3 linked regions of the Xenopus tropicalis genome follow. The protein of the gene in region 3 interacts with the protein of the main gene of each other region in a pairwise test. Links are inferred from orthologs where the notes say so. Each region holds a gene or a part of one and is shown on either strand. Other genes may lie near its edges. The genes, in order: ezr, fgfr4 and erbb2.

Region 1 (3,655 bases), on a different chromosome or scaffold from region 3:
GCATCCTTTTATGTCCAGATCATGCTTTATACAGCGCTGCGGAATATGTTGGCACTTTATAAATAAATGTTAATAATAATAATAATAATCATATAAGGGGTCATTTATGCAACTCCAGGGCGCAAGTGCTAGAGCACACCATTTGGTGCTACTTTAAAAAACAGTTGTTTTGCAGGAAAAGCTGTGCTCTGCTTTTGTGCCTGATTGAAAATCCTTGCGTGGAGCAGAGGAACAAAAAAGATTGTGTAGAAACTAATGAATATTTAGCAATGTTGCAAAGAAACTGGTGTTGCTAGTATACTGTGTTCTGTATGTATATTTATTTATGTTCTGTCATAATTCTACAAACAACTCATGCAGTTCAATGAGTTTTGACACCTACAGTGAACTGTATCATTTTTCATTACTCCCAACAAAAAAAACAAAATTGAAAAAGACACACAATGATCTGCCATATATCCAATTTTAAACATGCCTACTGTGTGACCACACCTCCAAATACCAGGTCAACTTTGAAAATACACATGGCAGCATTAGACAAAGAACATGACAGCATTAGACAAAAAAAAAAAATGAATTGTACTTTTTGTTGAATATTGGGAGTGGAAGGCTGTCTCTCCCCCACATTGTCTCACTCAGAGTATACCCAAGCTGCTCTCCCTTGCCAGCTCAACTAACCCATATTGGTTTGGTTGTGTAATGCACAAGAGGTCCATAAAGCAGTAGGGCAATTTTTCACACTTTCAGCACTACTTTTTAAGTAGCTCAACAACATAGTGCTAAGGTGGACAACAGCAATCTCACTGATTTGCATATAAATTAATAAATACCTGGGTGCTGGGCAGCAGAGGTTTGTACTGCACTTGAGTGAAAGGAGATTTTGGGTTATTTTATTTTCACAACAGAAGATTTATTTGCAAATGCCCTGGAGACTGTGGTGTTTCAGTCACCTACACAGAATGCTGCCACTAGAGACTGAAGTGTGCCAGTTACTCACACAGGGTGCCACCACTGGAGACTGAGGTGTGTGACTTACCTACACTGAATGCCACTAACACTATAACTATAGGCAGTAGACCTACTATCTAACTGCACTTATGCATGCTTCCTCTTTAAGGACTGAGAATGTTCCTGTGTATGCATGCTGCTTTCCTGCAGCAATTTTACCATTTAAAAAACCATATAGATTAAACCCAACGCATTTTGGCCCTTACAGCATAAACCTTCATCAGGGTCATACAAATAGAAAAAGTTCATGCTTGTACCTGAGCAGTGCCCTTTTGGATTAGTTCCTTACAGTTTTTTTTATCCACATTCCCTCACACAGATGCAATTCTCTATCTAATCCCACTACACAGGCACATGAGAGCATGCCTCCCAGCACTCGGCTCAGCCCCTAAGATGGTCAGTAAATAGGGTTAATGCATTGTGCCAGGAGGAATATAAACTGCTCTGTCTGATGAGGACAAAGCAGCATTTTAAATCTGCCTGAGTATGGCCAGTTTAGCTTCATGCAGGAAGTGGCAAGAATAGGTTCCAGAAGATATCAGTGATCTCTGTGACAGAATGCTTTGTTGTGAAAATGATGATTGGGGTTTTTTTAATAAAGTTTTGAGAGAGCATAATTAATTAATGTGTCAAATGGTGAGTTTTACCTTTAAGTTGTCGATAGTGGGAGATGTAAGCTTCAAGGGAGATGTTGCTAAACAGAGAACATTTTCATTGTTTAAAGGATTTTGCTGCCTGGTCCTGGAAGCTATAGTGTTCTGGAAAGAATCAGGCAGGCCAGATAATCCATTCCAGTAGTCCAGCTCATAAACTGGAGCTCACTTTCAACAGGAAGGCTCCTGTGGAAAGGTATTTAATTGTAGTGAGAATGTTAGAAAGGTCTCTCTGAACAGGGCACAGAGCCTGTGTTGGGACCTCCCAGAGGGGCTGTGGGTGCTGCCACGTCAAGGAGCACAAGGAGCCTTTGATGAAGGGACTGAGAGTCTGAGTCACTGTGAAATTGATGAAAAACAAGAGGCTGAGCAATCCTCCCAAAGGAGTATAGTGAGTACAGAAGTGACCCCAAATATATGTGTTTTCTTACTGGTAGTCCGCAAGGGGTTCAATTTATTTAGAGAGCTCAACAAATGTGCTGAAATGGTCACTTCTGTGTTTTAAATAAACTCCCTTAATTTGAAGAAAGCGTATGTTGTGGTTCTCACAAGCTTACAAAGAAAGAAACATGTTTAGTTTCATAGAAAGTGTAAAAAACTTACCCTCATTTGCCACTCGCTTGCTTCATCTTCTTTGACTCTCCTGGCCTCCTCCAGCAGTGAGATTCTAGCAGTATATTCTGATAGTTCAGAAGCCTAATTAGAGTATAGATATATATGAAAAGTGCATTATGTACATATAATATAGTCATGGTTAGGGATATACTGTACATACAAAAAGTGTACCAAAAAATAAAAAAAATATTTTTAATGAATACAAATAACTTGGCAGAGAAACTTAAACATGCCTTATGTATATATTTAAATATAATGCAAAGTAGAGAGTGGCAGGTTAAAATAATGCCTGACAGGGTTCTATGGTTCCCCTTTCCAACCCCTGCTTCCTATACCTTGGTCCCCAGATGTTTCTGGCCTACAACTGGAGAATTCTGGGAACTGTAGTCCAGCATCTGGGGACCCAACTCCATTCAGAAGCCAAAAAGTCAAGCTTCTCACTCATTTATTAAGTGTATGTAGATTTGGCATATTCATTAAGAGTTTCCAAAAAAAACATGGAAGTAAGAAAGAACTAATGCTCTGTCCCAGAAAAAAGTATCATACCAGTTGTTCTTGGCTTTTTGTCTGGGCAATTGCTTGTCTCTCCAGTTCTTCCTTGGCACGGAGAGCAGAAATACGTTCTGCTTCTAATCTCTCTGCCTCATACTGTGCCCGTCTTCTCTCTTCCTCCAATTCCTTGGCTCTTTGGATCTGCTCTGATAGTTCTGCAAACACAGATCAAAATATTGTCTTTTTAACGGTGATATCAAACCAATAAATGTATGAGACTCCCTTGGTAACTGAAAATGAAGAAAATATAGTAGCAAAGAAAGTAGCAGTTAAACATTTATAATTCCTGCATCATACTTTGATGAGTTTTTATTAGATGAATATATTCTCACTGTCTTTTAAGTGTTATCCTTAATATATATCCTTAGTGTATATATAATTCTACATTCATCACAGTAAAACTGACAGCTCTATAACCATTTAAAAGGTGACATTTTTCAATTGTAGAATTATAATTTTTTTTTTGTTTTATTCAGGATAGAAATACAAAGTGAAAGACCTGCCTCCCCATCAACAAAAGACCACCTGTCTGGAACCTGTCTGGAACCATGCCATGAAACATGCCCTTGGACATCAACTTCCAACACCTCCGATATCTTGATGGCACTGCCATAACAAGGCAATGCAATCTTGACTGTATATCTACTTGCTGCGGTAATCTGTCTGTTATGTTTAGTTTTCTTTTCAATAAAATTTAAGTTACAAATAAAAGAAATACAAAGTAAACCAAGTCAAGCAAAAAAAAAAAAATTACATTTCTAGTATAACAATCCCTAATTAATTAATCCTTAATTAATCCTTTCCCTGCCAACTATTGTACATAAATT
Region 2 (3,754 bases), on a different chromosome or scaffold from region 3:
GCAGCAACTATTTGAATGGATTCTCTCTCCAACGGGAGCTTCAGTTGCTTTAGTCAAGAGGAAAATCCATACCCAACATGTTGTGTTTAGCAAATCTACATTGTATAGATATTACAGTTTAAGCATTGCCCTGTACTGTTGCATATACGATACACTAATTGCAATAACATTGACCTATGTGTGCACAACTACTCCAAATGCAGCTTTTTAATAACAGGAAAAAAAAGAAAAAATACATATATGTTATGGAAGTTACCTTTCCAGTTGGCCTCATCTTCGGATAATGCTGGCCTGCATGAGCTTAACGTGGCAACGAACAGAACACCCAACAGCAACCTGGCAAAGTTCTGCATGGCATAAAAGCTTCTTTTTACGGATCCAGACATGACTGGCACGTGTGGGCAAACTGAAGAAGAATGAAGAAGCCAGGGACCAGAGTTAAATTACATCTTAGAGGCTCTCATTCAACATGAGTCAAAATATTTAAGACCCACTATAAGGTGTGAATCCCTTTATTAAATTAATTTAGCTGTCACCCAAACATACACAGCAAGATGGAGCATTGAACCCAAGGTAATAAGCTATAGATAACTGCTTATATTTTACATGCATAAACAAGAATGACCTTCATCCCTATAATGACGTGTATATGAAGCCACTGACAGTGATAGCAAGAATGATGAAACTTAAAGCACGCATGTGGGACAAACACAGTTAAACTGTCCTGTTCTGTTCCCCTGGGAAAACATGAGTAGGCACCCCCAAAACAAATATCACTTACAGTCAATGTTATCATTAACTTTTCGAGACTTACAACTTCTCCACATATTTAGACCATTATAATGATTTCAATGCACATCAGGGCTGTACCAAACCCCAGAACAAACAGGGGCTAAAGGATAATAGGGATAAATCCCCTCCACCCCCTTTCTCATGCCTGCATACACATTCCAGGAGATATCAATGTGTAACTAGCTGCAGGGACCCTGGGTTCCAGTTTAATCTTTGAACACAGTGCAACAAAAGCCTTTGTGTGCCAAGGCTACTCTGGTTATAGATTTACAGAATAGTTTTGGTGCTAGAGCAAGAGTTTACACAGAGCACTTCTGCAATCACAGAAGATAAGAGAGTAGTCAATAGAAATACAGAGAGATGGCTAAACCAGAAGATAATTGACTAATGGAAGATTCCTCAGACATCTCTTGGAAACAGTTGCACCTTATCAGGAACTTCCCCCATCTCTCTTCAGAAGATGAAAATGGATCACAATTTGTAGCAATGTATGCCACTCCTGCCAAGGGATAACTACATTAATACAAGGGGTGGGGATTTGGTCATGGTTATCATTTTCTTAAAATAAATGGAGACTTGCTATCTTAGTACTGTATCAGCAAAAATGAAATATCTTGATAACCCGGTGAAAAGTGCATTATAATTTTTACAGTGTGCCTGATTAATTTGTGCGGTGCTATACAGTAAGAATATAGTACAGATCAATACAGACCAGTATATGAACTATTAATCACGCACTGTGCAACAAGTCACTCCTAGTTGCATCTACACACTGCATTGTTATGACTCGACTGTCACCTTGCAAAGTCAGTTAACAAAATCTACTTTATTCTTCGGGAACAAAGTACATGAAATATTTTGTTCTCACCATATGAATAAAAATGATAGAACTACCCATCTAAAGGCGGCATGGGTTTGCAGCTTTCGATGTGTTATGGGAATACAACTCCCAGCATGCTAGCTGGGCACCACTAAAGTCAAAACACATAAACCACAAGCTAAATCTATTCAACCAATGTATATAAGACTGAAACAAAGTCCCTGGGCACCTTAAGTTGTTTACTTAGCAATCTCCAAACTGTGATTAAGCTTTAGCTACAAATCTAAGTCCACAGGGAAAAAAACTGAGCCCCAATACCCCAGATCAGGCACAATATAATAGACCAGGCAGTGTGTGAGATGCTTGGAGCTTGGGGCTCCACAGAGAGCCAATAAATCACCAATTCCACCCAGTGACATTTATATTGCCCCTCCATTAAATCCGAGCCACACAAAGGGGACTTCACACAAACACAAAAAAGCTCTGCACAAAAGCAGCTTCGGGTAAAACACAAATCAAAATGCAAGAGCAGCTCCAATGAATGGGACCTTCATTCAATACGAGAGGCTAGAAAGTGGCGGCCCCCCAGCTGTTGTTCAATTACAATTCCTATACCGGGGGTGCTGGGAGAGCAGGGGGTGCCCAGCTAGTTGGCCATGCTGCTGGCACTGGGTGCCCATGGGTGGGGGGGGGGGAGCAATAACAACACCGCTACACACGTGTGACCCCCAGCGCTTTCCATACAGGCACTGCTTAGCCCTTACTATAATAACCATAGAATATGTGTATGTATCAGATCCCACCAACAGTAGGAGCCTTGCCCAGTGCCTATAGTAAGGTATAGTAACGTGTAACCCAGCCGCACAGCCCCACGCCCCCTCCATACTGTACCTGCGACAGATCTCCGGGCTGCAGTGAGAGGGTTACTGGGGCTCCCCATTCATAAGAAGTCCGCGATCGGCTCCGTTCCCCGACGGCACTAATAATCCCCAAAGCGCCGAACCAAAGGCAAATATTCCAACAAAAAGCGCAGCTGCGCCAAAGCCTTTTCTTCAGTCACTCAGCATCCTTAGCCCCAAATATTAATCCACACAGGGGATCCAGACTCGCCCACGATAGCCCGCTCCCGCGAAACACTAGCCCAGCGTGGCTCCTGTGCAACTTGCCATCTAGGACGGTGCGGCTCGGTCCCAGCCAGTAGGAAGTTTGAGACCATGGACGGTGCTACCGCCGAGCTGCCCAGTGCATAGGGTACGATATCCCTGCTGGCTCCCTCTCACACTCAGGCACTGGCACAAGTTACTCAGGTTACACTCAATAGGCGATCTCTTCTCCCCCTCCCTTGAACAATGGACTATAAAGGGTGCAATGCTACAGGGAATCCCACCAGTAACACCGCCCCCAGGCTCTGCTCCCCCTCCCTCTGGGCTGTTTCTCTCCCCTCCCCCCCACCTACTCACCCTTTCACACTCAAATTAGCTAACTTCTCCCCCAGCTTTGTGTTGCAGGATTAAACTGCCTCCCTGCGCTGCCCAGCTCTGCCCTTTCTCATTCCCAGCAGGGATTCCTCCCTTTGCTTTGGATTCTCTTCTGCCTAATGATGTTATTTAGGGATGGCCAACCTGTGGCTCTATAGCTATTGCTAAACTTTAATTCTCAGTAAGTAGAAGCCCGAGCAGCCATAGGATGAAACTTTTGAACATTCCATGGTCAATATTTATGGCCAACGAGAATTCAATAATAATCTTATCCAGGGCCCTCAGATCTTATCTATGTTCTGTAACTGTGTTTCTCAAATTGTTTAATCACTGTTACAAATTATTGTAAATGTCAGTGTCGCTGGCTGGTACTACGTAACTACAATAATCCTAATCCACAAACTGATCACTGCGATATATACAAAAGTTGCCCTTACAATAGATCTTAATTCTAACCTCTTGGCTAGAGAATGCAGCCTGACACCCTATGTCACAAAGTGTGATTCTGACAGATGCAACATTATTCTGGCTTGATCCAATCAGTGTAAATTAGCCCTTATTTAGCTGGGCAGACTTACATCCTTCAGACTTAATATAGCCTTAAATTTGATTTAGGGCTGTCAGTCACAATTCTGAGTACTGCATTAGGGGCCATAAACCAATC
Region 3 (3,655 bases):
GTACAGAGCATATTCTGGCCAACTAGTTGTATATGCTGTGCTTTCTTGCTTACCGTAGCTCCAGACATCACTCTGGTGGGTGAATCTTCTATGCAAAATGGACTCTAAAGCCATCCATTTGATGGGGACCTGAGTGAGGGAAAGAGTGGGACAGAGAAAAAATTATCTTTAATATTTGGAAACCAAGCTACCACCTTTATGATCTACAAAGGGGCTGTCATGTGGTGCCTCAAATGGCTATTGGCAAATCTGCTCTCATCATGTGATAGGCTTTATCAAGGATAAGTAAACCTTGCACTTTTGTGATTCACATTCATTATTTATTTCTTTTTTTACTTCCAAGATTAAAGTACAGGTATGGGGTCCCTTATCCGGAAACTCATTATCCAGAAAGTTCCAAATTACAGGAAGGCGATCTCTCATAGACTCCATTATAAGCAAATAATTCTAATTTTTAAAAATGATTTCCTTTTGCTTTGTAATAATAAAACAGTACCTGTACTTGATCCCAACTAAGATATAATTACCCCTTATTGGGGGCAGAACAGCCCTATTGGGTTTATTTAATGGTTAAATGATTCCCTTTTCTCTGTAATAATAAAACAGTACCTGTACTTGATCCCAACTAAGATATAATTACCCCTTATTGGGGGCAGAACAGCCCTATTGGGTTTATTTCATGGTTAAATGATTCTCTTTTCTCTGTAATAATAAAACAGTACCTGTACTTGATCCCAACTAAGATATAATTACCCCTTATTGGGGGCAGAACAGCCCTATTGGGTTTATTTAATGGTTAAATGATTCCCTTTTCTCTGTAATAATAAAACAGTACCTTGTCCTTGATCCCAACTAAGATATAATTAATCCTTATTGGAAGCAAAACAATCCTATTGGGTTTATCTAATGTTTAAATAATCTTTTAGTACACTTAAGGTATTGAGATCCAAATTATGGAAAGATCCCTTATCTGGAAAACCCCAAGTCCCAAGCATTCCGGATAATGAGTCCCATACCTGTACTGTCAATATGAATTAATTTTTTTCACAACAGCTCCACCTGCTGGTCGGTTTCTGACCATGAAGTAGTTAAAGACGTTGTCAGCAGAAAGAAAGATGTTCTTCTTGTTAGGAAAGATGTAAGGAAAGTAATCGGAGGTTTCCAATGTCTTTCCTGACCAGAGGAACAGCAGCCCAGACCTCTCTTTCTCCTGACAACTTACTCTACTACTTCATATGTATCTTTATTTAGCTTATTTATCCTTTAAAACCTTTGTTGCTACAATTTTTGATGGCTCTTACCTTTCCACCATCAGCGTGGTACTCAGTCTCATCCACATCCAATAGTCGGGCCAGGCCAAAGTCTGTGATTTTCACATGTGACGGGCTCTTCACCAGTACATTGCGTGCAGCTAGGTCTCTGTGCACCAAGCGCACATCCTCCAGGTAGGTCATCCCCTGCGACAAACATGTATATTACCCACAGCTGTGTAACGTGACATTTAGGGGCAGATTTATTAAAATGTGAATTTAGAGCCCAATACATAAAAATTCACCCACATTCTATTTATTTCTGTGGGGTTTTTAGCAGTGTATTTATCGAATGATGAACATAAACTTTCACCCACTGATAAATACACTTCTAAAAATCCAATAGCAATGAATAGAAACTGAGTTTTTACGTATTAAACTCTAAACTTTTTTGATAGACTAACTTATACCGATTCTGTTATTTTTTTACCCAATGTAACACTCAAACTCACTACTATGATTTTGTCAGTCTGTTCCTTTACTTACAGTTCAGATTCTGTACCCCCCGACACCCAGATCCCTCTTACTAATTATGTCAGTGGGGCTCATTTATAAACACTGGGCAATTTTGCATCTGGGCAGTAACCCACGGCAACCAATTAAGTGTTTGCATTAACTATTTAACCTGCAGCTGGCTAAAAAAAGCCAATCACTGATTGGTCATTACTGCCCACGTGCAAATCTGCCTGTGTTTATAAATGAGCCCCAGTGTGTTCTTTACTCCCTGTAACCCAGACACGCACACTCAGCGCTATTGATTCTATCAACAGTGGTGCATGACCAATGTTGCGCGCAAAAATCCAAAGTCTCCATGAATTCCTGCACATCCTGCCCCCAACTAGCCCCCCTTCCCTGCTCCCTCCCTGCAGAGTTAATTGGATAGACTGGGAAGTAATTTGTGCTACTCTGCTATAGGTCAGCTTTCACGACAGGGACAATTTTGCATCTAAAGGTGGCCATGCACCTTCATCGCCAAGCGAGCGGATCTTTTCCCGATATCCCCACCTACGGGTGAGCGATATCAGGAGAATCCAAGTTAATTTGATCATTTGGCCCTGGGGCCAAACGGTCGAATTATAACAACGGGTATAGACAAAGTGCCCGATCCGACTAGATTTTCTAACCTGCCCGATCAAGATCTGGCTGATTTCAGGCCAGATATCGGTCAGGCAGGCCCGTCGGTAGTGCCCCTACACGGGCCGATTAGCTGCCGAATCGGTGTAAGGGACCAATATCTGCAGCTAGAATCGGCCCATGTATGGGCACCTCAATAGACTCTGCAGGGAAGGGGATCAATGGAGGGCAGTCTGTGGGGGCTTTTGCCTATGAGGGGTTTAGCTCTTCTTACCTTTGCTATCTGCACACACCAGTTGAGGAGATCTCTGGAAGCAATGCGGTCTTTGTTCTCCCTCACATAGTCCAGTAAGCAGCCGTACGGCATGAGTTGGGTGACAAGCTGTACGGTGGATGTAAGGCAGATCCCTAGCAGCCGACAAACGTAAGGGCTGCCCACCCCTGCCATCACATAGGCTTCCTGCACAAAACCAGAGTTACTGATATTCTTACACATTTATTACTAATTTAAACATTACTAAAAAATAGGAATTTCACATAAAACTGCGTGTATACAACTAAATAATATTAAATACACAGGTGGAAAGAAAGAAAAAGATGGCTGATCTATGGTAGAAAATCCCCTGCCATAGACAAGACTGAGAATTGCCTCTGCAAAAATGCATGTAGTGACAATTATCAGTAAATGATCAGCATTGTGTTTAAGTAGCTGTGACAAATAGCTGCTACTAGTAGCTCCGTGTGTCTTTACCCATATGAATATAGTGTTGCCTGCTTGCCTTGGCCGTGCTGTATTCTTAAGGGTGGAGACACACGGAGCTACTAGTTGCAGCTACTTGTTGTGGCTACTAAAATAGACAATGCTGATCATTTACTGATAACTGTCTCTATGTGTGTTTAGCAGAGGCAATTCTCAGTATTGTCTATGGCAGGGGATTTTGTGGTGTCTAGTAGCCGTAACAAGTAGCTGCTACTAAGTAGCTCCGTGTATCTTCTTCCAGCGATGCTGGTCTCCGTGCTCCAGAACAGACAGTAGTGTAAACTTGCATAGCAGTTTGCAGATACTGATGTGTTAAACTGATACTTACATCAAGGATCTCTTTGTTGGCTTTAGGTGACGTGTTCTCCCTCAAAACTTTGATGGCAACTGGGATTTTGATGTTTTCACCATCTGGAATCCAAATACCCTAAAAATGGGAAAGACAGCCACGGGATAGGGTTTACCAAATGGAAACATATTGTTTAACCACCCTAGTGCTCAACTCTTTTCT

The links.
Region 1: the proteins of erbb2 (region 3) and ezr interact in a protein complementation assay, tested with the Homo sapiens proteins (2 studies listed by BioGRID and IntAct, with this or other methods). The link is inferred for Xenopus tropicalis from reciprocal best matches to the Homo sapiens genes ERBB2 and EZR.
Region 2: the proteins of erbb2 (region 3) and fgfr4 interact in a protein complementation assay, tested with the Homo sapiens proteins (2 studies listed by BioGRID, with this or other methods). The link is inferred for Xenopus tropicalis from reciprocal best matches to the Homo sapiens genes ERBB2 and FGFR4.

The regions. Positions count from the first base shown.
Region 1 is NC_030681.2:64,210,874-64,214,528, forward strand, and holds part of ezr (ezrin), read right to left. Parts: intron 2,984-3,655; coding exon 2,823-2,983; intron 2,358-2,822; coding exon 2,265-2,357; intron 1-2,264. UniProt on the Homo sapiens protein: Probably involved in connections of major cytoskeletal structures to the plasma membrane. In epithelial cells, required for the formation of microvilli and membrane ruffles on the apical pole. Along with PLEKHG6, required for normal macropinocytosis.
Region 2 is NC_030679.2:46,330,171-46,333,924, forward strand, and holds the start of fgfr4 (fibroblast growth factor receptor 4 precursor), read right to left. Parts: upstream 2,871-3,754; 5' UTR 2,553-2,870; coding exon of another isoform or gene 2,504-2,552; intron 407-2,503; coding exon of another isoform or gene 387-406; coding exon 257-386; intron 1-256. UniProt on the Homo sapiens protein: Tyrosine-protein kinase that acts as a cell-surface receptor for fibroblast growth factors and plays a role in the regulation of cell proliferation, differentiation and migration, and in regulation of lipid metabolism, bile acid biosynthesis, glucose uptake, vitamin D metabolism and phosphate homeostasis.
Region 3 is NC_030686.2:9,811,868-9,815,522, forward strand, and holds part of erbb2 (receptor tyrosine-protein kinase erbB-2), read right to left. Parts: intron 3,572-3,655; coding exon 3,473-3,571; intron 2,845-3,472; coding exon 2,659-2,844; intron 1,458-2,658; coding exon 1,302-1,457; intron 130-1,301; coding exon 54-129; intron 1-53. UniProt on the Homo sapiens protein: Protein tyrosine kinase that is part of several cell surface receptor complexes, but that apparently needs a coreceptor for ligand binding. Essential component of a neuregulin-receptor complex, although neuregulins do not interact with it alone.